4 linked regions of the Rhinolophus ferrumequinum genome follow. The protein of the gene in region 4 purifies or fractionates together with the protein of the main gene of each other region. This does not show direct contact. Links are inferred from orthologs where the notes say so. Each region holds a gene or a part of one and is shown on either strand. Other genes may lie near its edges.

Region 1 (7,557 bases), on a different chromosome or scaffold from region 4:
CGATCAACCTCTCATTAGAGAAGATTCAATTTGTATTTGATAATCTTGCTTGTATTTCTATGTGTATTTTCTCATGTATTTCTTGCTAACATTCATTTTTCGCCTCGTGCCTCAGGAAAAAGTGAGTATTATGACTAGGTAGCATTTTTCTAACTATGTACTTTCCCTGAATGGTATATATAACGTACATTGTAAACAATGAACAGCAACCCAAATGGAAAAAAAAATTCAGGTTATTTCTGATCTGTTCATTGCTAAGTCCAACATACCAGTCTGTTAGTCACTCCGTGTATAAATATTGGCTTCTAAAGAAAGGGTATATTGCTTTCCTGCAATATACAACAAATGGAACATTCAACAAATGGAATGGAGCCTTAGCCGATGAATAGGACACTTGTGTAACAGTTATGCTCGCGCACCTGGAGGTGTCGTCAGACATTTGGGAATAAATACCTAAATAGTTGCCATGAGACAGAGTTCATGAGTCATGGCTGAAAAGTAGTCTTTCATTGAATTTCCTAGAAAATCAGAAAGTGTTTTTTTCCCTTAAAAATAGAACATGTACAGAATGATTCAATGTTATTAGCAATATCACTTGTATGCGGCCTTTAGGGAAAAAAACCATATAAATCTCTTGTGGATCATTGATAGACAGGTAACACAGTTTACATTATACCTGGTATCAGGAGGGTTGGATAGAGATTATTAAAGAAAAACTTATGTGTCACTGAACTTCCACTGGGCCAGATTCTATTCTAGTGCTGTTTTGTGCATAGTAAAAGCTTTCCTTAATATTATGTGCAGCATGTTCCATCTTCCATATAGGAAAACAGCGCTTCCAACCCGGCAGCAATAAAACCTGTGTTTTCAGTTTCTCTAATTGTGATGAAGTACCATAGTAGGTGGTCGTTTGGTGGCCTGAAACTAAAATTTAAAAAAAGTACAAAATGTTCAGTTTCATCCTCCACCAAATCATCTGACTACTATTTTTCAGTTATTTTAAGAAGCCAATCCAGTTTGATTACGCCCTCTCACCCCACCGTTTCATTTTCCATGGCACCCTAAAAAAAGACTGTCGGGCGTGTGTAAACCCACTGGGCAATGGCAGGTGAAGGGAATCAATGGCTGAATAACATGGCAAGTGATCTTCCCTCCCACCGCACCCCCACACCGGACCTCAACTTGAAGGGGAAAAAAACATATGAAGGGTAAAGGATTTGCGTATACACAATTTTGCAGACTGCAAAGTGTTCAGTAACAAAAGTACAATTTCTTGTACTTGAAATGTCCTCTCAGTACATGGATGGTCACTGAAATTGGATTCTGATCCAATTCTGTCCATACAAAGGCAATTTGGGGGCAATGTGGATTTTCTTTCTGTGAGGAAAGAAAATTCTGTGAGGATTTTCTTTGTCTTTCATCTGCTTCCATGGATCTATGAACCTAATGCAATACAAAACAATAGTTCCCAATTTAAAAACTCATCTAAAAGGTGTCAATTAATTTGTCTAATTTAGTCACAGTTGTAGCCTCCAGATTTATATTAATATAAGCAAGAATAATGTCAGGATTTGGTACAATTTAAAACCCAAGGTTGGGTGTGCTGTAATTATCTTTTAAGTATATCATTTTCCTATTCTGTCACTTAGTAAGTAAAATGGGGAGTTCCTTTACCAGTTAACATGCGTTCAAGGTCCATTGGAACAACTAGTATAGCTGAATAGTTTACCTATACCCAGAGAATGTGTATGTTGGCCGATTACCACAATCTCGGGCATGTGGTACCATGTTGGTTAAGTGGCTCCTGGGAAACAGAGACAGTGCTTGAACACTTGGGAACAAGGAAGACCATTGCATTGAGGCAGCGAATTACATTGCAGCATATTTGTTTAAAACACGCAAGGAGAACATTTCCGAAAGTATTCCCATTGTTTAAGTATCGGCAGGCAATTGTTAAGTTTCAAAAATAATTTTTCCAAAAGACTGCCACTAATAATTATTTTGTCTCTTAATCTAAAAGGTAGGCAACAGGACCAAGTGCCCGGCTTCTAAGAAAGGGGACCGTTACTTAGGCAGAGGGCAAAGAGCAACAGCAGCATTCCTGGCTTCGGAGGAGAGACTGGCAGCATACTGACTTGAGAGAACCGGGCTTTCCGGGGAGACTGCCTGACCTTCAGTCCTCTGACCCCTATTCCGCAGTGTCTTGTCCACAGCCAAAGGGCTTGCTTAATGTCAGTTTACAAAACAAGAGGAAGGCTCTTATGGTAATGACAGTCCAGAGGTTCCGAAAATTTGCCCCTTTTCCTGATAAGAACAATTAATAACCCAAGTGTCATATCAAAAGGATCACAGTTGTTTTTTCAGGAAGACTGAAAAGGTTATTCAGAGAAAGGGGAGATATATAGTAAGTCATTACGGACTGTCTTAGTTATAAATATTCCTTCTTCCAGCTCCATATTTGATGGACCTTTTCTAAACACCTTAAGTTCGATTTAAAGCACTGTCAAGAAAATATTTGTTATCTTATAAATAACCAAAGAAAACCAGAAGTTTCTAACCAAAGAAAACCTCTTTCCTCACACAACCTCTTACAGTTTCATAAGCTGTCCTAAAAAATGTACAATACAGTAAAAGGCTTACATACTTTTTAAAAATAAGCCACTCGAACTGCTAATTTTTCTTGAATAAGAATAACCTTTTATCTTTGAAACAGCATTAAAGGGGCAGAACAGAGATGAGCTGTCTTATTACCTATTTAGACAAGACTAAAATCATTTCATCAAAAAGTATCTTTTAGGCAAATGATGGATTCAGTGCCCTAACAAACTTGTGCTCAATAGAAGATAAAGAATACGAAGCTTTTACCTGAGTGTCTATGGGAAGCCATGGCTCAGAGACCAAGTTCAGGAGCAGCACCTAGACCAGTCCTCCCTCGACCCCACCTGAGAAGGCTGTGGCTCATTTGTGAACATACATTTAAGGGGAAGCAGCTAACACAAAAATAACCGAGAGCAGATGGCCCACCCCTCCCCAGAGATCACAACCTTAATCCCACTAGAAAATTCTTAACCATTTTAGGTGATCCAAGGGAGAAGAATAGGACCCAGTAAAAATACCAAACACTACATATAAATACCTGTGGTGCTACTCAGCATCCAAATTAGCTCCAGAGCCAGAGAGGCCACATAGAAAGTTATCCCTGTACCGGAATAAAATTTGGACTCAGCTCTAGCATAGCTTAACGCTGAGCCACCCTTGTTAACTCACTTTATATGCCTAAAGAGCTTGCATTTGGCCCTATGAAGAATTCATTTTTGTGCCATTAATGATAAAAGTAACTGTAAGAGAAAGCCTTATGTTACCAGTATAATCAAAAGGGATTAGACACTATGAATATGGAGATCAAGGGCATTATGTATGTCCTCCTTGGTATGTACCACAGATCAGCAGAATTACTGAAAAGAGCAATTCTAGCCACATATCTCCTTAGTGCTGGACAGAGCAGGACAGGACACAGACATACATGCCTATAACCGCTATGTAGACAAGGAAGAGACTTTGTCCCACAAACGAAATCTCTTCTCACCGTCAGGGGCAATAAAAGTAAAAATATGGGGCGGCTGGTTGGCACTGTGGTTACAGCGCAGTGCTCATAACACCAGGGTCGCCGGTTCGATTCCCCCATGGGCCAGTGAGCTGCGCCCTCCACAACTAGATTGAAAACAACAACTTGACATGGAGCTGATGGGTCCTGGAAAAACACACTGTTCCCCCATATTCCCCAGTAAAAAAAAAAAAAAAAAAAAGTAAAAATATGGACGAAAATGAAGATGGTCACGTATCATGCTGTAGCAGCTCAACAGGCTGCCCGATGCCTGGAGACTGCTCATCAGGAAGAAGCTCTAGGAAAAGCCAAGGTCCTCAAGATGGCCTCTAAACCCCCTGCCTGTTCATTCTCTAGCCTCATCCCTGCCCCAATTACCCTCGCTCCCTTCATCTCCAGCCTCACTGGCATTTGCACTGTCCCTTGCACCCTTCAGACACACCCCACCTCAGGGCCCCAACACTGATTCCCTCAGCACCGAGCCTCTTGATTGCACCTCTACTTCCTTCAAGGCTTTACTCCAAGTCACTTTTTCAGTGATATCTTCTTTGACCACCCTATTTAAAATTGCAACCATGCTCCCCATGCCCCACACTCCCTAGCCCCTGCCCCAATTTGATCCCCACAGTAACTATTTGTTGGAAAAAAATGAATTAAAAGAAGCAAAAAGGCTTAATCAAACCTCATATAAAACCAAAACACAGTCCCACCTGGAACCCTAAAAGTGACTTTGGTCATTGAACTTCAAGGAAGGCATCCGACTTTCACTCCGGGACAGGCGCTGGGCTCAGTACCTTATAGACACTGCCTTGTCTAGTGCATGTCACTGGTTTTGGCCCTATTCACACATCTCTTTTACCAGGCTGAGGGCCGGGAACATGCTTTACTTGTTTTGCTATTCCCAACAGATAGCAGGTAAGCAATACATGCTTCATGGATAAATGAATGAATGAGTTTCGCAACTTTTACGCTTTTCAAATGTTTAGAAAAGCTATTCTAAAAGACAGATGAAATTGTAACTCCTAGTTTGCTGGAAAAATGACACAACAATAGAAGCCAGGATGTTAACAGGTTTATGACATGATAACGTCCAAAAAAATAAGCCTGGGAAAAAAGGGAAGTGACACTGCACTCCTGCACGCCTCTCTAGCCTTTCTTATCCAGCCTGATTATATTATGGCAGGGAGATTGGCCAGTCTGAACAATACTACACCCCTAAAATAAACTTAAACTTTCACCACAAGGAAATGCTAATTTATTTGATGATCAACCTTTATGAACCCCAAATTTTAGATTTTAGTGAGGTGTATTTCTAGGTAGAGCCAAAGCATTTTTTAAAAACGCCTCTTGTAGTGCTGTGAACAATAAACTTAGATTGCCAAGTGCTTTCCTCAAGGAAGTCAATTCTAGTTTCAAGCCATGTATCAGGAGGTGTTTTGTTTTTTAAATTAAAGTTTATTGGGGTGACAACGGTTAATAAAGTTACCTAGATTTCAGGTGTACAATTCTGCATTACATCCTCTATAAATCCCATTGTGTGTTCACCATCCAGAGTCAGTTCACCTTCCATCACCATATATTTGATCCCATTCTTTTACCAAGTTCCATTAGCCATCTGATCATTTTGAAAAGCAACAACGGAATATGGACAGACTGATAGCCTTATGAAGTTAGCAAATAAACATAAATCTATTTTGCCTGAAACGCAAGAACAAGAGAATTACTCCTGACCATTAATTAATTAGTCGGCTACAAGCCAGCGTGAGCTGGGAGCTTGGCCCTACAACAGCATTTATTCCATCTGCAATTTACTTCAACCAGGTTAACTCTGCCTTCCTATAAACTTCATGAAGCATGACCACTGCCTGCTCTGACATTTGTCCCCATGCCCATGTCAAGTGACAAAACCACAATTTTCACAAAACCCAAACAGAACGGGCTCTTTGTTAGGTGAAACACAATTTCTCAGTAAGAATCGCTGGTAATTTTATCCTGCCTTGGATCAGTGGTTCAGAAACCTTGACGGTTATTTAGCACACACCCAAACAATCAGTGGTTTCATTAGCGTCTGAGCCAACTTCATTACATATTAACAGTATGATGTTAATAATATCCTTAATAATCCTGTACTGTTTACAAAGCGCCTTTATATACTGTTGGTGGAGCTGGCTGGTGTTTGATTAACAAATCTCTTTAGTGTCTGAAGGCCACATTTCAGACCTTTTAGTCTTTCACACTCCAGTGTACATCAGGATGATTTTTCAGCGAGCTAGGCATCACAAGTCCTAAGCTCCCTCTTGCATGTGGTCCTCTGGGAGCCATTTACTTGTCTTCCACCTACTCAGATTCTTGTCTTCCACGTACTCAGCAGTTACATTTTAACCTACCCACGGGCCCCACTTGTAGATGATACCACCCCATCTATTCATTTATTTTGGAGGACGAACACTTATTAAAGAGATGTCCTACTATGTGGTGTAGAATATTTTGCTGCTCACAAAGAGTAAGATACAGTCCTTCCTTCCAAGTGTATCAAGATCAATATACAAATGACTGTCACGCAAAACATAGCATGGTGAGTATTACAAGAGATATAAAGTGGTATAGATTTATCACAGGCAGCGATTGTATTAGGTTTGGAGAGATCAGAGAAGACTTGATGAATGTGATACTATTTGACCTGGTCCCTGAAAAATGGGTAAGGCCTTAGCACAAGGAGAAGAGGAGAGGGAATTCCAACAAAAGGCACAGTATGAACAAAAATACGAGAACACAGGGCCTGCTCCCGAAGCAGGATGCAGCCCAGTGCGGGCAGGAGCACAGGATACATCTGCAGTGGCACATCAAGCTAGAAAGAAACGGAAAGCCAGAGCTCGGAGGGTCTTTTTGCAATTGGTGCAAGAGAAGGGTGAGATCAGGGAAATATGAGCAGTGACAAGAAGAGTCAGTCTTAGGGAACGAAGTCTGGAAGCAGGGAAAGTCTAGAAGGGTATTGCTGTTGTCCAGATGAGACATAAGGGGAAACTGAATGAGAGCAACAATGGCAACAGGCATGAAAGGGAAAGGAGATGGAAGGCGCACCACGGGGCAGGGCTCAAAAGGACTGGTTAGATGTGTTGGAGGAGAAGGAGCTGGCAATCCTTCCGATGTGGTGATTCTGGGTGATCAGGAAATAATGGGGAATTTGGGAGGCACCACTGGTGTGGGGAAGAGTGGCGCTTTACTTGGAGCTTTACAGTGAGGTTCTTCTGAGATGTCAATAACTAACCCCCTTTAATGGGATCCAGTTGTCAAGTCGAGAAAGAACTAGGGCTAACAGTGCAGTTACGATGGAATCACGTTTATGGGAATTCTCACCCTGCAATCTAATCCCAGACTCTACCTCAGAAACACCGCTGGGAGGATCAAACTTCCAAAGTTCAAAGTGGTGCAACCTAAGAGTCAAACACGGCAAATTCAGTGACCTAGTTGGCCTACACCTCGGGAGTTCCTGGTTCACAGCTTGGCTTGTGGTCGCCCTTTTCCCTTTACTATATTTTTTCTTTTACTGAAGAAATTTCCAAATAGTTGAAAAGTTATTCAGACATTTACTGGCCATTAGTCATGGCCAGAGGCAAGAGGCTTATGACAATCTGGAATGGAGCCTTTGTGGATTTATCAGAGGTCTGATGTTTTTTTTTGTTTGTTTTTTTTTTAGCTTCTTCTTTTCTCCACATGCCTACTACTAATAATTAACACACTGCAAGTTTTTTCTCAGTATAACTTTCTCAGGCTACTAGTCCCTCCGCCAACAATTTTACTGAGTGACTCCAACTGCAATCTTAAGGCATCCAGTCATGCACTATGATATGATGGGATTCGATGTTGAGCTCTCCCGAGTATTTCTTGTCCTATGAGTTCTTGCCAGAAAAAGGACAGTACAGCTTCAGCCATCTCATGTTCCTGTCAATCTT
Region 2 (7,497 bases), on a different chromosome or scaffold from region 4:
AGAAGGCTTCACTGCCAGACTCTGAAAAAGGTTTAAGATTTGTACTAAGAAACAAGTTTCTAATCTCTTCTATTGCAGTTTAGCACCAGAAGAACACCTGCCTAAAAATCAAAATATTTAAATCTTGTCCTTTGAACTAATTGACTAACACTCAATTTGTCCACCTAAAAGTTAGTCATAGCAATACCTCATCAGTGCAGAAGTATAAAAAAGGATGTCTTTCTATATACTGAGGTTCTAGAATGAGAGAAGGCTGACATCCGTCTTATCATTTCACACTTAATTTTGCAAATCTCTGCAATCATATTTCTTATTCCCTCCAACTGTCTGAAATAGGTTGCTTCTGTATTTCTATTCCATAGGTGAGGAGCCTACAAATCATGAAGGTTGAGTTCTTTACTAAAACAAGTTAGTGGTAGACCAAGGATTGTAACTCTCAAACTAACCCGTTGTTTATACTCCTCTCTATCCTAAATCTAGACTTATACTAAAGCTTTCCACTCAAAGAAAAAGGAAAGGCAAAAACACCATTTACGTGCTTTGTTAAATGCTTCTGAAACAACAGTTTCGATCATCATCACATCAGCCCCTGGCCCACTTCTTAAATTCTTAGGGACCTAGAGTTGTATGGAATATGAACTTCCCAAGGACCTACTGTGTTTCCTGGAAAATAAGACCTAGCCGGACAATCAGCTCTAATGTGTCTTTTGGAGCAAAAATTAATATAAGACCCAGTCTTATATTATGTTAGATAAGACCGGGTCTTATAGTAAAATAAGACCGGGTCTTATATTAATTGTTGCTCCAAAAGACGCATTAGAGCTGATTAACCGGCTAGGTTTTATTTTCAGGGAAACACAGTCGTTGGTGCTGAACAGCCCAGCACGGTGATAAATAACCTTGTTCTCTTTCCAACATCGATGATGGACAGGTCCCCCGCCTGTTGCAAGTGAACAAAGAGCAAATTTTTCTGAAGCTCATCATCTTCTTAACCTTTTCTTTGTAAAGAGACATAGCTCATGTACCAGTTTTTTGGTCAAGGTAAAATACTCCTTCATATTAGGCTAGGAAAAGCAGGGGCCGCTTGCGGCTTCACAAACAGACACAAGCTATCATCCCACTGGAAGCAGAGATTCAGAGAAAACCAAAACCCAGCCCTGCCCTTTCGGAACACCTTTTGACTGCCATGGGTTTAATACACCATTCTCTTGAGGAATCCTATTAGCTGGGTAATTTCATTCCCATTTTATTGGGGGCGTTCATAGAGCGGAGCTGGATTTGAACCCAGGATTATTTATGAAGCTCCAAAACCCAAGCGCCTTCCACTACCCGGTCGGAGGAAACTTGGAATCTGAAATTGTGGGTGGGATGGGTAAGGAATGACTGCATTTCCTTTCCTTGGTCCAACCGCGTTCAGAAATTGTCGCACATATCCAACCCGAAAGAGGCCTGCGAAGGCAGCACTTTGAATGACCCTCTCCACTGTTCCTCACCCACCCATGCCCCACCCCCAACCTGCCAAAAGAGCAGCAAATCCGGCTGCCAGGTTAGAGGAGTTGGTGATCGTCACACCACATTCCTGGGGCTGGACACAGACCGCAATAGCGCCTGAGCTGCGCGCCTCGGAAAGAATAACAGCAGTTGAGATTTTTAAATCCTGTGGCCCAGCGTGCAGCCCCACCAGTTCTCCTACTGTTCCTGCCTCCACCTTTCAAAGGCCCCGTGCAACACATCGGATTCGTCCCGCCCGTGGATTCGGAGTGTCAGACTCGGGCGCCCCGCGAAACCCTGGCCCCATCCAAACCGACCCCACCCACCCGGACTGCGTGCCTCCCCTTTGGCACAGCTACTGGTGGCCGTGAAGGTGCAAGCCGTTGGGCTGGGAGGCCCTGCCCTCGCCGACCCCCCCACGCCAGAACCTGGCATTCCTCCGCTCAGCCCCTTTGCGGTCGGCGGCCAGCGGGGGTTTGTCGCAGGCAGCCCGCCCTCGGTTCCCCTTCAACCCCAGGAAACGCGGAACCAAAAGGGCAAGACTGCCCAACTCCTAGAACTCCAGCGCCCACGAAGGGGAGTTTCTGAGCCTCGCTGCCCGGCCTCCCTCCGGCCAAGGAGGCGTGTGTGGGGCCACCGGCCGCAGGGAACAGGCGGCGGCGGGGAGCGCGGGGGCAGGGGCGCGCTCAGGGGGCCCCCACGATGCCCCAACTTTCTGGAACCCAGTGGCCTCAATCCGCGCCGGCGGCAGAGCCCGGCCTTCTCGCACGGAGGGGACCAAAGGGGGGGACCGGGCGCCCCAGATGGCCGGGCGGGGGCGGCGGTGCGCGACCAGGGCGCGGGGACAGCACCCCCGGGCCCGATACTCACCACGCGCAGGGGCCGCGCGGCACAGCCAGAGCGCCAGCAGCGCCCACAGCCGCGCGGGGTGCAGGGCGGGCATCTTCTCGGTCGCCTCCTCCGCCGCCGCCGCCGCCTGGGCAGATCCACATGGAGAGGGGGTCCCAACAGAGGAGCCCCCACTTTCTGCGCTCCTCCTCCCGCCCCGGTGGCGCCCGGCCTCGCGCTGGCCCCGAAGCTCAGGCTAGACGCCTCCACTCCCCGCACCCCGAGTCAGCCGTGCCCGGGACGCCGCCTCAGCCGCCGCCCGAAGTTCGGCTCTAACTTTCTCGAGTGTGCAGTCTCGTGTGTCCTTCCGCCTCGGCCGCCTCCTCCCACCGCAAACCCCGCCCCCTGCCGCCCAGGCCGGCGGCCGCCTGCGGCGCCCAGGGGTTTCCCGCAGGAAGAAGCGCCGGCCGAGCCGCGCGCGGAGGGATCTACTACGAGTCCTCAGCCTCGGCCGCCGGCCCGGCCCGCGTCGAGTCCCGACGCGCCTTAACGCCTTCAGCGCTGGAGCGCCTCGCTGGGCCCGGCCTCTGCCAACAGGGGTGGGTGTTAGGACGCTGAACTTCAGACGCTAGGGGCACTGAGATCGTGAACTTGCCCGGAGAGCCGGCCCTCATCCAGGGAGCCAGGGATCGCCCGTGTCACACACACACACACATCCACACACCCCGGGGTGGCCGGAGGAATGCGGCGGACGGCCTGTGCTGTCACAGAAGGAAATGGGGGCCAGGGCGCCAAAGCCCATTTAAAATGAACAGAGCCATCAGCTGGGTTGTGCTGCCTCATTCATTCATTCATTCATTCATTCATTCATTCTTCACGCATTCATTCACTCGTTTAGCAAATGTTTCTTAAGCGCCTTACTTTGCTGGGCACCGTAGGAATGGTACTAAAGTCTCATGATGCTCAAGCTACTTTTGAGGATTTAGACGTTGCTGCAGTGGGTAGGCTTTCATGGAAGAACTGGGATGAGAGCAGGATTTTGAAAGGTTAGGAAAATTTGTAAGGACGAGGAGAGCAGCTACGGATATTCATTGTAACATTGTTGGCAATACCAAACATGGGGAACAGCCTCAATGCCCACCCATAGAGGAAAGGATGGATAATGTATCGTATATTTAGAAAATAAAATACACAGCAATTGAAAGAGCATGTTCATATACGCCAATAGAAATACATTTCAAAAATAAAATGGTAGTGAAAAAACCAATTGCACAAGGAGATATAAAGTATACCATGTATATCTATTTATATTTCAAAACAATGCCATAGATTATTTATGAATGCACACCACACAGTATATAGTAAAAGAATATAACCAGCATAGCGGTTACTTCCAGCGCAGGAGAATGAGGGATGGAATCAGGCATGCGTACAAGTGGGCTTGGTTTTTGTAAGAAAAGAGTTGAAATAAATCCAAGAAAAAGTTGGTGTGGCCGTAACATTCTCCTCTGGGAGAGCCCCCATAAAAGGGTACAGATAAGGGAAGAAGTAGATGAGTTCTGGCACTATTCGCAGTGACAGGAGTCAAGGAGGGAAAGGGGGTCGGGACCAGGACCCTGAACGACAAGCTGAAAAAGAGGGAGGGGTGGGTAGGAAGGGGGGATAGTTATCTCTCAGGTCATAGAAAAACCATTGAAGGTCTTCGCACAGGAGTGAGACTTGATGGAAAGGAAGGTTGCTCTGATAATCCTGCGCAAAATTGTCAGGCGCAAAAGGTGAACGAACGGGAGTCCGAGGGCTAGTGAGGAGTTTGTGAAACAGTCCAGGCGGGCATGGCTGATGAAGGCCTGCACTACTGAGGTAGATGTCAAAATAGAAAGGGAGGGATGGACTGGGGACAATCTCGAAGAAAAAGAAAAAGGAAAAGACGCGGGTGGGGCAACCCAATGTGACTAATTGGATGTGGAGGTTTACGATCCTGTCGGGAAGGGAAATCCTACCCACAGAGCCTCTCCCGGGCTCCTAGAGGACAAAGTCCAAACTTCTAAAAATGGTCAATACAAGGCCTTCCCTTCCCTGGGCCCCCTCGCTTGTCCCCTCTGCCCCATTGTGAACTTTACACAATAACAGTATTGCATGAGTTGAGATTCCCCCCCAAACATATCTCCTTCCTTCAGTCTCTGTACCTTCTGTTCCCTTGACGCGGAATGACTTGTAGTCCCCTCCCCTCCTCCTCTTGAACTTCTAATCATTTATCCTTCAGCCCTGAGAAGGCTTTGCCGACCTTGTAACCAATTCCTACCTCGGACAGACAGTCCCTCCACTGTCCTGCTTCTTTATCTGACACTCATCTCTATTTTTCACACAGGACTGTCTGTATTTCTATCTTTTCCTCTAGATCAGGAGGTCCCGACGGGTAAGGCCCACGGCCTCATTCGTTCCCAGAGCCCAGCCCATAATAGATGTTGAACTAGAAGGTAAAATGGCACTGAACAAGCACAAAGCAGTATGATCAGCGGCCTCTGAAGTTCCCAACCGGATTTTCATAAGCACTTTATAATAGATAAGCAAGTGTTATGAGTGAAACTAGTCACCTTGGGATGCTAGAAACTCTTTGCAAAAACAACACAGTCCAATTGTTTTGGAATTTCCCTTGTGCAAATATGTTCAGAGAAAGATAATAACAGGACGGTTTAGCTGCTGACTGATAGTTACCAGCTTGATCGTTCTCTTTCCTCACTAAATATAGTTCGTAGTGACTTGGCTGTATACAAATTTTAAAAACCACCTACAAAGATTAAATTTGTCCCTATTGAGATATATTCAGAAGGATGTAAATGTCATCATCCCCAAAGAGCAGGTCTGGAAACGACTGGCTGTGACATCACTATGACAATAGGTGCGGAATTTCTCAAGGTGACTCTTTGAAAGAAAGCGATCATTATGTTACATGTGTAATAACTTGTGTGGGATTTGTTATAACGTTAGACTTATTGCATACATTCCCCATAAGGACAAGGAGAGTAAAGAGTAAAATGTTATGAAGGGAAGTAGGAGAAGGGTATGATGGAGGAGATGTTTTTAAAAATATGTTTTGAAGGAAGCTATGGATATAAATTGGTAAAAAAGAAAACAAAAAAAGGGGGAGCTGAAAATCAAGGGAAGAAACTGGAATTGACAAAGACTGAGAGTTGAGAACCAGTAAGTCAACTGGCATTTGGATGAGTATTTACTGTGGGCCAGTTCTGGTATGAGCAGTCCAGGGATAAAGCCAGAAAGATGAGTAATCAACAATTAAGACCCAGTGTGACAGCTGAGGGACTGTGACCTGTCTCCGCCCAGGGGCAATCAGGGAAGGCTTCCGGGAAGATCTCAACAGCTGGTCTAAGAAGTAGAGGACCAAACGATTAATCAGGTAAAGAGGAAGAGGAGACTTCTCCTGTTCAGTGGCCTAAACTCTTCCAGGCAGATTCTGGGGTCCATATCAAGCTTAGGTTGAGCTACACCACGCATCTCAGCACATAACCCAGGGATGTGTGATGAAGTGTTTGCCGAAGCAGGAATTAAAAGAGAGCTTTCTTTGCAACAAGTACGGAGGCTGGTGAACAATAGAGACCAGAGCCTGTTCCCTAAAGTGGGAAGGCAAGGACTTAGGCAGGGGCCGTGGGAATGCAGAAAAGCCGGGCTTTGGCTCCTAAAGTTAGTACCCACTTAGATGAGAGAGGAAAGGTGGATGGGCCATCAGCAATGACTTCCATATCCTGAGGCTTGGTGAGCTACTCCCGGATATAGAAAACACAGGAGAAGGAAAAGGAGGTTTGGTAGATTAAATAAGCAGGCAAGATAAGAAATCGATGGAGCTGGAAGAGGGAAACTGCGTTCTCCAGAAGCAGCAGTGGCTGTTGACTGCTTTTGCGAGAGCTGGAGGAGCCTGACTGATTTAAAGGATGGAACCGCGTTGAAATAGGCTTCCTACTACTGAGCTCTCCCGCAAGCTAAGCCTAAATTCCACTATGTGCGTTTAGGTGACTGGTTCCCCGATCCCTAGCAGAAATCAGGGGGTCTTGTGGTGCTGTCTCAAAACAGGAGTAGCAGCTGAGGCCATGAAATGTCAGGATGTGCCTGGAGATTTCAGGCCCAAACGTGCTCTGCAGTTTTAACGGCTCAACTGGAGTGCGGAATGGTTTTCCCCATAGACACTGCTTTGAGTCAAAGCAAGTTCTACTTTATAGGAGAAATTGGCAGGAAAACTACCAGGTGATCCTATAACTAATCACAGTGATTGCTCTTCAAGTTCCATAGCTTCACTGATCTGGAAAAAAATTTTTTTTTCTCAATCTCCAAGCTCACATTAAAATCTACAGACTATTAATAATAGAAAACATGAATAAGGGCCACCCCTAGTTTTCGTTGTAGTTGAAACTGAAAATATGCATGTATGTCTTTATTAATTAAAATTCACATGTAAAGTTGTCTCCCCAAGACAAATGCAGAATTGGCACTTACTTTGTTCTCATGTCTGTTCTCTCAGACCCAGGAGGCTGTAAAACCCCTCAAGGGCAGAGAGACTGTGTTATTTGTCTATTTTGCCTCAGTTCCTAGCACGGTCGTTCGTGCACAGACGTGCACAACAATGTGAGTTTTAAATAAACGTGGAATGAGGGGCGTGTATAGCCGTGTGAATTGGAGAGCGTGACAGAATGTCCAGGGGTTCTGGAGCATTCCAGGATGCATCAGGTAAACACTATAGATGTTGCAGAACAGATTCTGGGGTCCACATCAAGCCTAGGTTGAGCTACTCCACACGTCTCAGCACATAACCCAGGAACCCAGCGGTGTGTGATGAAGTGTCCAGGGACACAGGAATGAAAAGAAAGGTTTCTTTGCAAAACAATGCCTTCCATTTGTGCAGTGCTTTAGGCTTTCTAAAAAACACTTTTAAGTTATTATCTCATTTGATTCTCAAAGCGATCGTGGGAAATAGCCAAGCCAGTCATTATTATCCCCATTTCCCAGATGAGGAAACTGAGAGTTTAGGTGTCTTGCCTGAGGTTGAATAAGTAGTTAGTGACAGAGCTGAGACAAACCCCCCTACGTCTGACTTCTGATTCAGTCTCAGTCCACGGTTTCTTTCTGCAACAGAGTGACGCTCGTCCAAGACAATTTTTAGTGTAGGAA
Region 3 (7,823 bases), on a different chromosome or scaffold from region 4:
AGATTCAAACCCAGCCTGGCTCAAGGAGCCAAGCTCTCCATCAGTAAATCAGACCTTTAGGCCTCTCACCTTTAATTAGATTTATTCAGCAATTATTTTTTAAATTAATTCCACAAATATTCATGGCATACCTGTGAGTCAGGTCCCTGGTTTTTTTGGCCAGGACTGAAAAGTGCTTCCATTCCCAAACTTCAAATCTTTGAAAAGTCAGCCTTTTGTCACTTGATTCAACTATTCAAAACACGTCTGGTTGAAGCCTGTGTCTGTCTGGTGCTGCAGTTTTTGCTCAGTAACACCTCTACCTCTTATGCACCTTCTCACTTGACACCCTCTACTTCTCAGCATCCAGCACAAAACTCCATTCTTTAGGAGAGCATGGGGTTGACCGTAACCTCCCTTGATAAGGACACCATACTTCTGTTAATGCAGCCTATCCTGACATCAGTGTTTTCAGCCATGTTGTAGGTATCAGCGCTGCTAATGCCAACCTGAGCCTGCCTTGTGGTTCACAGAACTTGTCAGGTGCATCGCCCCCAACCTGACATAATAAGGAATCTTGCTTTTATCTCATTGAATTGTATCTCCTTAAATAGACACCATTCCCTTCTCTTGACTACTACGGTATGTCCCTTCTGACTCAGAATGGATCCTAAATATGACTGGTTAGTTGTTATGGACTGAATTGTGTCCTCCTAAAATTCATGTTAAATTTGAAAGAGATAATTAAAGTTAAATGAGATCATAAGGGCGGCGCCCTAATCCAGTAGGAATGATGTTTCTATAAGAAGAGATACCAGGCGTGCACATGCTCAGAGAAAGGCCATGTGAGGACAGCGAAACAGTGACCATCAGCAAGCCGAGGAGAGGCTTCAGGAGAGACCAACAGCTGGCCCCTTGATCTTGGACTTCAAGTCACTAGAACTGTGAGAAATAAACGTCTACTGTTTAAGCCTCCCAGTCTATGGTACTTTGTCATGGAAGCCAGAATTGATTAATATGCCAGTCTCCTGTGTCTCTGTCCAAACCACAGGTAACAAGATAGAGCTCTGTGGCTCACCACTAGATACTTCTCCAGGCTGTATTAACCTGAAATAACCCAAATAATCTAATTATAACCTAATTATAACCATTAGCATCAGCTCCTGATTTTCCAACTTGTTCATGAAAATGCAACAAGAACTGTTTTCAAAATGACTTGCTGAAATGCGGAACTACCACAGCTATGTCATTTCATGATCAGTCACACTAATAATCTTATGCAAACTGCTCTGTCATCTTGGGCAAATCCTGACCTCTCTGGGCCTCAGATGCCTGGTCTGTGACGTTTCGGGATGTGTATTCCACCGTCATAACCTTTATTACTACCATTTATCGAAAATTTCCTAATTGCCTGGTTACCGTGCCAAGCACTGTACACACACCTCACTCATTTAATCCTCTCAACAATCCCATGAGATCCCATTTTTCACCTCAGGAAACTGCGGCTCAGAGACGTCAAGGTGCTTGTCCAAGGTCACACAGCATGTGAATAGCAGGGTTCTAAGAGGAGCCTAGCTGGCTACACTGAGTGCAGGAGTGCATTTCCCCATCCTGTTACCTGTATTTGTTCTTCTTCCTTGGTGTGAGGGTCGCGGTACTGCCCCTGGAGGAGGTGGTCTCAAAGCTTCTGTTGGCCCCCGAGGCCTGTGAAGACTCTGTGCCCACTCCTTTGGTTCTGTTGGCCTTCTCCACCCAGGGTGGGTCAAAGTCTGGTAGTGTGGGCCGGGTGCCCACAGGGCTGCCAAACAAAGTCTCATCCACATACGATGGCTTGGCCTTGACTTGATAGCCACCCCGGCAGCGGTGCTGGCGGTGAAGGCTCTGCATCCCAGTAATGGTCAGCTCCACAGGGGTCTTCATGCCGTCCGTAGTCCCAGGTGACAGTGGGCCTGCTCTGCCTGCCAGGCCCTGCCTCCAGGGCTCCCTGTGAAAGGGGGTCAGAGTGCCACCCCTGTGTCATCGGCAGTGCCAGCAGATCAGGGATGGCAGTCTCTTAGGTCCCCAAGGTTCTCCCTCAACAGCAAAAGGGTCAGGTTCTCCCTCAAGCAGTCCTCCTCAAAGGGGAACTGCCAACCCCAGGGGACATTTCAGAAATTTGTTTGACTTGTTTTTAGTTGTCAGAATGATGGGGGTGGATGGGTCTTACTAGCAAGTGTTTAATAATTATGTATTCCTAGCATACAGTGTGTGCTCAATATTTATAGAACGCTTACGGGGATAAAGGAAAGATGGGACCTGTGCCCATTTTGGCACCAACCAGAAAACAAACAATGGGGCGAGACAGGACAGGTCCCTACATCCTGTATATATCTATGGGGAAGTAATAATAATCCGTTTTGATCTCATACCTACCTCGTGCAAAGAGCTTTAGAAACATCGTCTCATTTAACCCTCTCAATAGTCTTGGGAAGAAACTTTATGTCCATTCTACAGATGACAAAACTGAGGCTTCAAAAGGTGAAGTCACATGTGTAAGTCACACCTACAAAACTAAAATAGAAGTGGAATTGGAACCTGACAGGAGTCCAGAGCTTGTGCACTTAACCATTCTACTATAGGGGGATCCCTCCCCCACCCCCCACTACCCCACACGCCCCAATCCCCAAGTCAATGCCCGGGTTGACGTCCGACGTCCCTGAATTCTTATTTCCTACCAGAGCATCTTGTCTCACGGATGCCGGCTGTAACCCTCAGTGCCCCTCCCCACCAGCTCTGGACTCCTCTGTGGGGGTGCCTGAGCACCCGCGGTGCATCCATGACCCCCGTTTATCTGGAGTCGGAATCCCGGAGCCCAGAACCCCCCGCCCCCGGAACCGCGCGGACTGACTCACCCCGGGTAGCCAGGCCCTAGCGACGTGTGCTCCGCGCGCGTCTCAAACAGCAACCAGCCAGAGGCGGGGCGACACGGCCGGAACCATTGGCTCCCGGGAGGGGGTCCCCCTTCTGAACGCTCCCGGAGATGCCCAAAGCCTCCGAGAGGGGCTTCGCGGGCCAGTCAGGGGATCGTGAGAGGGCGCGCCGAGCTCCCGCGGCGGCAGAAGGGGCGGGAGCGCGGCCAGGGCCGCGCCGGTGGTACGTCCCCGCAGACTCCGCCCCTTCCCGTTTCCTGGCGCCGGGGCCCGCATGGCGGCGGGTACTAGCCCGGCGGCTGGACCGCGGTCCCGAGCTGCCATGGCCCAGTGGAGGAAGAAAAAGGGGCTCCGGAAACGCCGGGGCGCGGCCCCCCAGGCCCGCAGCAGCGACTCGGAAGACGGCGAGTTTGAGATCCAGGCGGAAGATGACACCCGCGCCCAGAAGGTTAGCGCGGGGCTGGGACACACGTTGGAGCCCGAGCCCCGGCTCCGCGCAGCGCCCCGCGGCCTCCGTTTCCCCAGCTGGGGAGTGGGCACTGCGGAGGGTGGGGAGGGGTCGCCTGGCCAGGAGTCCGGCAGGTTTGCCGGCCTGAGCACGTGTCTCGGGCCTGTCAAGCCCCGGGTCCTGGCGGCTGGAGCCGGCGCGTTCCAGAGGCTAGGGCCTTGGGGCCTTCTTGGCCGGCTTTTGTTCGCGCCCCTCATTGGCTATCTCCTACACAGGGGCGGGTCCTAGTTCCGTTTCGTCCAATGAAAAGTGCGGATTTTGAAGCTCTGAGTTTGGAGTTTAGGGGATTCTTGAGAGGTTGAATTTAGGGGAGGCCGGACGCCGCAGTTTGGGACAGTGACGCCCCCAAACCTCTGGGAAACTAATAGTAATAAATTAAACTTGGGTTTGTTTACCGTTTACTGTGTGCCAGGCTCTGTGCTAAGAGTTTTAAGGAGCCTTATCATTTATTCCTCACACCAACATTGTAAGCTAAGTATTGTCGTCCCATTTTCCAGAGGAAGAAGCTGAGGCCTAGAGGGTTAAAGGAACTTGACCAAGACCTCATAGCTTGTAAGTAGGAGAGGCAGGATTCAAACCCGGGACTGTCTGGTTCCAGGGCCTGTGCTATTTCCGCTACTGAGTGCCAACTGTAGGCAAATGGGGAAGGAGGGCAGGTGTGTGAACACCAAGCAGGCAGAACTAGCTCCTTATGCCCCTCCGCCCTGTGCCCAGCCAGTGCCTGGCACAGAGCAGCTCTGGGTAGGTAGGTGAACAAGCAGGTGTTTATATGAAGAGGGGTCTACACTCCAAGGCAGGGACCAGACCTTGTCCCACTGTTCCCCATCAAGCCAGTGCCTGGCACATAGTAGGTGCTCTAAATTTGGAGTAACTGATAAAGGTAATGAGCAGCACAGGAGGAGGGCAGAGTACTAAGTACCAAAGAGGAGCCCACATATGTGCGTGGTTCAGATCAAGGGCTTTGTCCTGGCACAGCCCTGTGTTCAAATCTGGCCCAATCCTTTTTTACTGGCTGTGGGACATTAGAAAAGTTGCTTAACCTCTCTGAGCCACATCTGTAGAAGGCAGAAGTTTCCACTTGTGTAGAACGCAGATGAGTATGTGTACGTCACAGACTGTGAAAGGGATTAAATGACGGTATTCGTATTTTCTGCTCATTCCGTAAATATTGGTGGGACACGGGTGTGTTCAGACACTTTGTTGTCATGTGTCTAGAGCACATGACTGTAAAGAACCAGATGGTAAATGTTTTAGGTTTTGCAGGCCTGTATAAGGTCACTGTCTCCTTTGTTTGATTTTTTACAATCTTTTAAAATGTAAAAACCATCCTTAGCTCATAGACAGGCTGCAGCTCTGACCTAGATGGTGTAGTGGACCATAGAGGGTCACAATGCAAAGAGCACAGACTCTGATCCCCCACTTGCTGTCTAGCAGGTGACTTTGGGTCGGTCACTTCACTGCTCTGTGCCTCAGTTGCCTTCTCTGTAAAATGGATAAAATAATAGTTCTCGTTTCCCAGGGTACTAGTGAGGATTAAGTGGGTTAATCCACAGCAGCAGCTGGCTTAGAATAAGTGCCGTGTAAGTTCTAGCCATTATTATGAATTAGTGCTCCATACGTGTTATTTCTGAGAGGAAGGGGATAGTCCTGTAGTCTGAGAAGGCTCCCCAGAGGAGGCGTCTGGGTTGGACTCAGCTGTGTTAGGACAAGTGGGTTCTGGATGGGCAGAGAAGAGGCAGGCATGACAGAGACTGGAGTTAGGGAGAGGTAATGAATCAGAAAGAAGATTGGGGAGAGGGGGCAAGGCAGCTTGGAAAAATCTAGTACCTCCACACATAGTAGATGTTTTGATGGGCTCTGTAGGGTTTTTAATTTTGAAGGCTTTGATTGACAGGCTAGAATGATGATTCTGATATCACCATGTGCTGGGCGCCATTCTAAGCGTCCCGCATACCTGTTTAGTCTTCACAGCACCCTGTGAGGCATATACTTTTGTCATCCTTGTTTCCCAGATGTGGAAACACAGACTCAGGGGGATTAAGTCCCTTGTATGAGGTCTCACAGCTGGTAAGTGACAGAGTTGGGATTGAAACGCAGGCAGTCTGTCTGCAGATCCCACTCTCTGCCCCTTTGCCCTGTCTGGCCCAGTCAAAAGAGAGCCTGCTAGCAGAGAAGTCATGTAACCTGGCAGGCGAGTCATAGGCTAGAATGGGGGGCAGACTGGGAACAGGACAGCCCCCCTCCCTGCCACCAGTGGTCTCATGGTGCCTGGAGTTTTGCTGCCTCTCTGTTCCTCCCCCGCAGCTGGGACCTGGCAGACCACTGCCCACCTTCCCAACCTCAGAATGCACCTCGGACGTGGAGCCTGACATGCGAGAAATGGTGCGAGCCCAGAACAAGAAGAAGAAGAAATCGGGAGGCTTCCAGTCCATGGGTGGGTGAGCCAGCCATCTGGGGATTTGGGGAGTAGCAGTGGGGCCCTCCGTGCTCTGCTCTGGGCCCAACACTGTGGTAGGTGATGGGTTGACCAAGGCAGCAGACATGGTGTCCAAGCCAGTCAGGGCCTTCTTGTGGGGACAACAGGCCTGACACAATGAGAAAACGGTTAGAGCAGGACTGATGGTGACGCTGGTGCAGGTACAGGCAGAGACATTCGGGATTTACTGCGTGACGATGGCATTTCAGAGCAGAGAGGGAAAGATGGAATAATTGGGTGGGATTGGGACACCCGGCTAGATGGCAATAAAGCTGAACTCTCTTTCTTGCTGCTTACAAGTCAGCATCTGGAGCAAAGATTTAAATATCAAGATGAACATTTTTATCATCTTAGAAAGGAAAAGAAGGCCTTTCTAAGTGTGACCCAAGCACTGTTTAATTGGACTCTTTTTTCAGTTAGACACATGTATGCCAAAAAACACTGTAAACTAAGTTAAAGTAAAGTGCTATCAGGAATATATTGCAACCTATGGGACACACAGAGAGTAAGTATCCTTTATATGCTAAGAGCTTTAACAAATCAATAAGAAAAGGACAGGCACCCCAGAGAGAGCTGAGTGAAGAACATGAATAGTCAGCTCACAAAAGGAATCTAGACAGCCAATTACTATATTAAAAATGTGCTAACATTCATCAAAAATCAAAGAAAAAAGCAAATAAAAACATCTACATGTGGTTATTTTTCGCCTTTCTGAATTACCAAGGTAATTGCCCAGAAAGCAGCTAAAATCACGGCGCTTTCCTGTCTCTGGGCCTCCCACCCTCACAAGCCCAAGTCGCATCCCGTCTCCAGAGCCACCTCCTCGCCCTGATAGCACCATGTGGCTCATTTGTCAGTGGCCATGCTCGCAGCTATCACCGGCCCTTGTCATGGAATACTCTCTTCTTTTAATTATAAATTACAGACGTATGAAAAATGGAATCCTGCGGGTCTCCACGTACCCATCACCAACTTCAGTGGTGTTCAACTTGGCCTTGCTTTGGCCACGCCCCACTTACTTGTCCCCATCGTCCCGGAGGAGTCTGAAGCGAGTCTTGGAATCCACTCCTTGTACCCCTACCTACTTCCCGCTTCCAAGAGAGGCAGGACTGTACACGCCTGACACAAGCACACAGTACTGTCCACTACTCCATCAGCAGTTACATGCCCAGTTGTCTCCCTGCACTAAGCGTGTGTTCAGACAGATTTCACGTAAGGTGCATATCCCACGCTAGGTAGATTTGTCTTCTTAAATCTCAGTCTTATCAGTTTTGCTCTATGGCTTTTCTTTGTTCTTGCCGTTTGTTTGATGATGTAAGTCATTTGTCCTGTGTAGCTTTCTGGAGTGTGGTGCCGTGGGGGCTCCCCCGGCCCCCTGGCCATTCCCGTGTCTTTCCCAGGCTTGAGCTACCCAGTATTCAAAGGCATCATGAAGAAGGGCTACAAGGTGCCGACACCCATCCAGAGGAAGGTACGCAGCCTGGACGGCGGATGGGTTTGGGAGGAGGGGATAAGCCACTTGGCCCTGGAGAGCCACCCCTTGTCCTGGCTGTGACCTCTCTCGCCCCTTTTATTCTGAAGCTGGGTGACAGGCCACTTCCCATTCACTGAGATCCCCTACTTCGCCCACTCCTTGGGGACTTGAAGCCCTGGGTCACGTGCTTGGGTGCTCACCCACTCATTCCTCTCCAGACCATCCCGGTGATCCTGGATGGCAAGGACGTGGTGGCTATGGCCCGGACGGGCAGTGGCAAGACAGCATGCTTCCTCATCCCCATGTTTGAGCGACTCAAGACCCGCAGCGCCCAGACCGGGGCCCGAGCGCTCATTCTCTCACCCACCCGAGAGCTGGCCCTGCAGACCATGAAGTTCACCAAGGAGGTAGGTCGGGGCTGGGGGAAAGGGGCTGCTGGGCTGGGCTGGGACCAGTGGGGCGCCTAGACTGGGCTGA
Region 4 (7,081 bases):
AAAATGACTTAATGAATTAGAGCTGGCAAGAGTGGCTTCCCCCAAAACCATCTTTTTTCTTAGCCACTTAAAAGACATTGATAGAAATCTGTTAGTATAAGAGGTAACATTTTAATAAACGTAACTGCTTAAAATCTAACACCTAGAAGCACATTAGAATAGATCTGAAAATACTAATAGTGAGCCTCATATTTTTCCTGCACTCTCCTGCAATATGCATGAGCAATAAATTTACAGCTTTAATCATCAATTATCAGAAAGAAAGCCTCCCAACCACAGCTCACGCCCTATGCTTCTAAATATGCTATTGTTTGGTATAATTTAGTAAAGATACTGTTTCATTTGGTCACCAAATAAAGATCTTACACAATTTAGAAACAAAAAAACACAACTTGGTTTGTAAAAGTTGCTTTTATGATGTTTGTGTGATCATTCTTATATGCATAAGTCAGAGCAAAATACCTTCCATTATTATTACACTTTGCTTACAGGGAGAAACAACAGTGTGCTCAAGATTTTACCTTCAAAAGAATGATTATGCACTAAAAACAAGTAAAGGAGAAATGATTGTTGGTAAAAATCCAGTCATGGAACCCAGACTGCAAATTTTGACAAAAGTCTCACGTATCAATCATGAAACATGAGTTTCCGTCAATTAAAATTCATACTAATTCCAATCACAGCCTTCAAAATAAATAAAACTGCTTTCCACTATACCAACATTCCTCACGCTACATTTTGCACATGCTCTACTAGTGGCATTTTATGTGGAACTTTAGTTTACAAATGATAATCCAGGTGATTTTAAGGGTAACATTATCTTCTAAAAGTCGTGATAAATTAGTGGGGGGAAGGGAACCTCCTGAAATACACATTCAGTCTAGCAATCCTGGTAAATCTAATACCGTATTCCCAGGACCAGAATATTGAGGCCACTTAAATACACCACACCACTTTCTCCCTACCCACCCCCACAACTCCAAGCTTTTAACACTACCATAACAATAAGCACCCCGAACGATTTAAAGCTCCTGTAACATTAAAGCTCCTTTACCTTAAGACTATTACTTAAATGTCTTTTCATTGCATTTCATTAATGCATTCCACAAAGATTCTAGAAGCAGTATTCATCAACCAGAACTGCAGGCTTAAGCGCTTTCCTCATTTCAACTCCAAAGATGGGGCAGAGGGTTGTCATAAATCTACAGAGCAAAAGCGAATAATTGTAAACTACAATGATGAAGAAAAAGTTAAACATTTGTATCAAATTCACAAGCAGGATGCCTTCCTTCTTCCTTACGAAGCAGGAGTTACTGGTGAAAATAACTAAACTCCACACCTAGAGTCTAGAAAATGCTGAAATTCTCCACCGCAACATTTACAAGTTTTTAACAGCAAAATTCATTTCACTGCTATTCACATGCCAAACGAATACCCCATGTGGATATCTGAAACTATTCTCACACGCCAAAAGAAAAGGAAAACACACACACACACCTTGCGCTTCTCCTAACCTTCCGTCCTACGATACCCTCAGGTAACCCAGACGCAAAACTACCACCACGACCGCTGCCCTTGGCCTAGGCCGCCAGAAACCAGAGGCCGGAGGGGCAATCACCAAGAGACCCGATCTTTTTCCAGCGTTACTGTTTCCAAGCAAAACAAGCACGGGCCCAGAGAGAGGCGAAGAAAACTGGAGACACTGTAATCCCGAGAGAAATGGGGAGGAGGGGTGTGTGTAATCCCGAGAGAAAAGGGTGCGGAGAGAAGGAGCGCCGAGCAGGAAAGTAAGTATCCCCACGCATCTTTCAGACCCACAAAAACAAGCCGAGGGTCTGCCCGCACGTACAAGCACCAGATGGAGTCCCCGGGGCTGAGACAGTTCAGCCGACACACACTGTGGGGAATGGATAAATCAATCGATGGGAGGGGAACGGGGGTGCCAAGCGAATAAGCCACTGGGTGGGAAAGACAAAGCCTGTGGGGATGATCAAAGACAACACAGAAAGGTGAGAGTAATACACGAGAAAAATAATAGATGAAAAAGGAAAAGAGAGAAATCTGGTGCCTGGGCTGTGGCAGGTCACTTAACTGCCGAATAGAGAGGGGCACAACAAAGGGGCACGGGAGGAAGGACAGCCGAAGGCAGGACATGGAGAAGGGATGCGGGGCGCGATGGGTCGGACAAAGCGCCCAAGGCGGCGAAACAAAGGGCCGGGGGTAGAGAGTCGCGGGGGGCAACTGGGAAAGACAAAGCGCCCGGGACCGGGGGCACCGGCCGGGCGAGGAGGCGACGACGATCCAGAGAAACAAAGCTGCGTGGGGCTGAGAGGCAGGGCCCGCGGGAGGCAGCGCGGAAGACGAGCGGAGGGCACGGCGCCCGTGGGCCCCGCGCGCCCCGCCGCACTTACGCCCGCACCCGCCGGCCTCGCCGCCGCCGCCGCCGCCGCCGCCCGCCCTCACGCGCCGGAGCCAGAGCCAAGGCGGCGCAGAGCGGGCTGCGCACGGCCACACGCCGCCGCGCTCGGCGCACGCGACGCAGCTCCCGCGCCCCCCGGACGCCAAGCGCGCTGCGGCCCCCGAACCCGCCTCCCGTCGCGGGCTCGGAGACGCCCGCAACTTTCCCGGTTCCCAGCGCTCCGATTCCCTCAGACTTACCCTGTCACAACAGGCGCCATCTTCCACAAACTCTCGCCAAAACTCCAACCCTCGCGAGATTCCCCCCGACGCCTGCCCTGGTCCCTCTCCCCCGCCCCTTCCCTTTTTCCTCACTCCGTGATTCCACCCAGCCCCCGCGCTCCTTTTCCCCTAGCAGCCGCCGCGAAGAGCCAGACGCCTCGCGCCGCCCGCGAAGTAGGGGATCCTGCTCGCTGCCTTCCCTGGAAACCTACCCAAGCGATGGAGCATGCGCAGGCGGCTCCTCCACGGGCGAGCCCGCCGTGTGGTCCATGGGGAGCGCTCCGGTTATCCGGGTTTTGAGACGTGCCTTGAAGGACGTACGTGGAGACTGAGGAAAACCGGAGGGGATTACAACGGGGACGGGGAATGGAGGGGTCAGGAGGCGGGGCCGAAGCGAAGGGAGGAGGGGTCCTGGGAAAATCTGCCGCGTTTCACAGGCCTAGATGAAACACCTCCTCAAATGGGTGTTTTCCAAGTGGCTTCCCGCTCACTCTGGTTCCCAGCCCTTTTCATTCATTCAAACGTTCATTGGACGCCTCCTTTATGCTAATGTCAGCGTTAGGTGCTGGAGCTACACTGATGCCTGGAGTTGGGGCGAGTGACCAAACGAGGAACTATCATTCATTCGACCCTCTTGGCTAGCGGAGAGGCGGACAAGAGCACAGTGTAGTTTGACCCTCCAGAACTATGTAAAGGGAAAACTTTTGCCGTTGAGCTCTGTCGCCTTAGTTTTCTTTTCCTTGCATGAGAAATGAGGTCAGGCCAAGACCTCTGGCAAAGACATGCCTAATGTCCACCTCGCATACCACGCCAGAGCGCCGCGTAGTTTTCTCCGGCGGTAAAAAATGCGTTGGAATTGAGAACCACCACTTCCCCGCCCCGCACTCCAGCCAGAGGTCCCGCTCGGACAGAGAGCTGCCTGCGCTGTGAGCCTCCCTAGGACTTCATCACAGCTCCCAGCCTTGCATGAACCCAGGTGTATAAAGGAACAGACTCTGCACAGGCCTTCCCGCGAGCCAGGCACAGTCGAGGATACTGCTCGCTGCCCGAAATGTACTTCAGGCGACCTAAGCCTGGAAGCCTCCGAGCGAGCTTGGCCCGACTGGGCATTTAGCAAAAAGGTGCAAAGCCCCAATCCCCGCCCTCCCTACCAGCAGCACCCCTTTCTACCCTCTACCCCGCCTTGCCCTTTCAATTCCTAGAGATTCCCAGAACCAGCACTGCCTCCCGCAGGGAGCCCCAAAACCCGGAGAACTGGAATCCACTGCCCGAAACCTGCTGAACGCGCTGCAGGACTGGCGCGGCACGCGCGAGCGGCACTGCGCATGTGCCCAATGCGGGCAGCTTAGTCTCACGCTACACCTCCTTCCCACCGCCTTCCACTACTCGACTCAGACACAACACGGGCCGTGGGAAATTTCGTAAACCTCGCGAGAATGCGCCCACTGTTGCCTATGCTTTCGCCCCAAATCTCGCGGAGCCCAGGCGGGACAGGTGTTTGTCTAGTGCAGCTCCGGGTGCTGTTCGTGCCGCGCGTGCCCGGGCGGCGGGCGGCGGGCGCGGGCGGGATGAGAAGGGCAGGGAGCGGCTCGCCGCGGAGGCGAGGCGGGTGGGCGCGTGGCGGGGAGCGGGGGGAGGAGGGAGGCCGCGAGGGTGCTCGATGTGTTGCACCTACATGCCGCGTGACGCTTTGTGGAAGAAAAATGGGTCGGGTCGGGAAACTCTAAAGGAAGAAGGGGAAGCCAGGAGATTAGAAACTCGTGGTGCGGGTGGTTAAGAGGTGAAACTCTAGGGTAGGAGGAGCCCCAGGCGGATCCCCCGGGGAGGTTTCCTGTCGCCCTCTACGAACCTGGTACTTTCCTAAACCGTGTTAGACGCCGCGTCCCCGGCCTCCGGGAGCTGACGGCCCCCAGTGTCGGGTTTGAGTCATGCTTCTGAGTCACCTAGTCTGGCCCTCACTTTGAAACAAGTTCAGATTATTTTAGCTACTCTCTTCTAGCAATTGGTTATATTCTTTCTCATCTACCCGCTGGCCTCGCGAGTTGGGTACAGAAAAAAAGCTGCTCCCTGCGCTCTCGCATTGTTGCCTTTACAGATTCTGCCTCCCATTTAAGGACACTTTTTTTTTTTCTAATTTCTTCCCCGCTAATCTCTTCCTAGCCTTTTAAAGTGATCTCTACATAACAGTTTCTGTTCTTGTTTTTTTTTTTTTTCTCCCACTAATATGACTTAAAATACTGGTTTTGCTTTCATTCACTTTTCAGTTTGTTGAAATATTCATTCCATTGTAAGTATTGTTTCATCAGGTGCTTTAGTGACAACTTTTAAATGCATACCTTCTTTTTGGATTATTTGTGTGTCCAGTGAATTCCTGGTTACATTCTCCAATCAGGCACATTCCAGATTGCCCTGGTGTACTTTTGTACCAGCCTAGCCTAGTGTTGTCTAAGAACTCGTGTCTTGGTGACATTATAGACCCACAAATGTAAAATTGAATTCCGTTTTGATTTTTGGAGGACAGTGAGTCCTTTGATTGGGGTTCCTGTTCTGCTGGTTGTATAGTGGATGAGAAATCAAATTTTTGAATTGTTTTCAAGGTTTTTAGTTTGTATGTGTGAGTGTTCATTTACCTTACCCTTTGATTAAATATTTCACACAGCAAAAGAGAAGATATAAGGACACTTACTATAATAGCTCAATGCCAGTCGGATGTGGAACACGACAGCTCAGGAGGACAATGCCCATGGGCACAGATTCCTTGGAGCCTTCATCCCAAGACGACATTTCAGTCATGGTCTAGTCCGGGCCATTAATCTAATTTGGAACCCTGGCCATCGGAGAACCCCAGCCATGGAAAGCCAGGGCAAGCACAATGCAAATCACAACTCCTCTTCACCCTAAAACACGCTCCACCTGCATTCTTTCCCCATCCCAGTAAATGACAACTCCATCCTTCCTCTCCATTAAGCCAAGAACCGCAGAGCCATTCTTGCCACCTTTTCCTCTCACGTCCAACATCTCATCTAACAAAATATGCTGGCTCCACTTTCAAAATAGGACCCACAGTTGGAACAGTTCCCCACCTCCATGGTGACCAGCCCAGTCCAAGCCATCTCATTTCTTACCTGCTTTACAGGAAGTCTAACTGGTTCTCCCTTCCACTCTTGCCCTCCCTCAGTCTATTCCCAACAGAGCATTCAGTAACCCTGTAGAACTCGCCAATGGTTTTCCCATATCACTATGAGGACCTACACAATCTGGCCTGCCACCCTGACCTCCCTGATCTCTACTCTTCCCCTTAGCTGTAACCAGCAGACTTTCTTGCTGTTCCTAGAACATAACAACTCCTGCCTTTGCCCTTTCCTCAGATGCTATATGGCTCGTTCCTTCACTACTTTCAGGTCTTTGCTTAAATGTCACCTCAGTGAGGCCTACCCTGACCACCCTTCACTAAAGTGACTCCTCACACTCTGTGTTCCCTCCTTTATTTTCCCTACAGGGCTTATCATAAGCTAACACAGTATATATCTTACCAGTGTGTTGTGTTTACTCTCTGCCTCCTCCCATTGTAATGTAATCTTAATGAGGGCAGGGACTTCTGTCTTTGTATTCATTGTTTGAGGCTCAGCCACTAGAACAATGCCTGGTGCACGATAGATGCTCAGTAAGCATTTGTAGACTGAATAAGCTGTCTTCCACTTTAGAGCAGAGCAGAAATGATTCTGAACACTCACGAAGCCTTCTAGGGTTCAAAACAGTATTGGGATTAGACCAGACTTGAATACCCCAGAGCCAGCCGGCCTGCGGAGGAGAAAAGAGCCTATAGAGCAATTGCCTGTGTTGACTTTCTGCCAAAAAATTTCTTACTCCTGGGTTAGACCAGAAGATGAGCCTACATTCATGTGAAGGGTTTCCATTACTCTCCATTTTAGAGCCTCAGGAATGAAAACACTATTGACAGGATATTAAAAAACAGGTATTCATGCGTGTTGCTAGTGAGCGTGAAAATGGATGTAAGCTTTATAAAACCAATTTAGATAAAATTTAACGACTACCTGTTAATTCTACAATTCCATGTCTAGAAATCTACCTAACAAATATACTCACATGTGTGAAATTACTTATATTGCAGCATCGTTGATGGGAGACAATATTGGTTAACAACCTAAATGTCAAGAGATGTCTTAATTTTTAAAAAGTCATGATATATTCATAGAATTGGATAGTATGCATTTGTTAATAAGCTGAGGTTACTTTTTATGTACTTGTGTGGAAGGATCACAAAAAACAAGGTGCAAAATGGTGATAGATAAATATATACTTATTTGCCTATATGTATCTAAAATGGTTCTGGAAGAACACAATAGAAACTGTAAACAGTGACTGCTTCTCTCTGAGACTT

The links.
Region 1: the proteins of RBPJ (region 4) and FHL1 purify together in Homo sapiens (affinity purification with western blotting; 4 studies listed by BioGRID and IntAct, with this or other methods). This does not show direct contact. The link is inferred for Rhinolophus ferrumequinum from reciprocal best matches to the Homo sapiens genes RBPJ and FHL1.
Region 2: the proteins of RBPJ (region 4) and NOTCH2 purify together in Homo sapiens (affinity purification with mass spectrometry; 3 studies listed by BioGRID and IntAct, counting the BioPlex papers as one, with this or other methods). This does not show direct contact. The link is inferred for Rhinolophus ferrumequinum from reciprocal best matches to the Homo sapiens genes RBPJ and NOTCH2.
Region 3: the proteins of RBPJ (region 4) and RITA1 purify together in Homo sapiens (affinity purification with mass spectrometry; 4 studies listed by BioGRID and IntAct, with this or other methods). This does not show direct contact. The link is inferred for Rhinolophus ferrumequinum from reciprocal best matches to the Homo sapiens genes RBPJ and RITA1.

What each region holds. Positions count from the first base shown.
Region 1 is NC_046284.1:20,056,177-20,063,733, forward strand, and holds the start of FHL1 (four and a half LIM domains protein 1), read right to left. Parts: upstream 3,019-7,557; 5' UTR 2,888-3,018; coding exon 2,866-2,887; intron 1-2,865.
Region 2 is NC_046305.1:49,116,059-49,123,555, forward strand, and holds the start of NOTCH2 (neurogenic locus notch homolog protein 2), read right to left. Parts: upstream 3,005-7,497; 5' UTR 2,435-3,004; coding exon 2,362-2,434; intron 1-2,361. UniProt on the Homo sapiens protein: Functions as a receptor for membrane-bound ligands Jagged-1 (JAG1), Jagged-2 (JAG2) and Delta-1 (DLL1) to regulate cell-fate determination.
Region 3 is NC_046308.1:7,990,424-7,998,246, reverse strand, and holds the start of RITA1 (RBPJ-interacting and tubulin-associated protein 1), read right to left. Parts: upstream 3,013-7,823; 5' UTR 2,871-3,012; intron 2,839-2,870; exon of another isoform or gene 2,694-2,838; intron 2,530-2,693; 5' UTR 2,392-2,529; intron 1,964-2,391; 5' UTR 1,900-1,963; coding exon 1,598-1,899; intron 1-1,597. Other genes in the region: ATP-dependent RNA helicase DDX54, read left to right, coding at 3,163-3,336, 5,701-5,830, 7,273-7,343, 7,565-7,753. UniProt on the Homo sapiens protein: Tubulin-binding protein that acts as a negative regulator of Notch signaling pathway.
Region 4 is NC_046288.1:70,461,644-70,468,724, forward strand, and holds the start of RBPJ (recombining binding protein suppressor of hairless), read right to left. Parts: upstream 3,003-7,081; 5' UTR 2,951-3,002; coding exon 2,892-2,950; intron 2,755-2,891; exon of another isoform or gene 2,679-2,754; coding exon of another isoform or gene 2,659-2,678; intron 1-2,658. UniProt on the Homo sapiens protein: Transcriptional regulator that plays a central role in Notch signaling, a signaling pathway involved in cell-cell communication that regulates a broad spectrum of cell-fate determinations.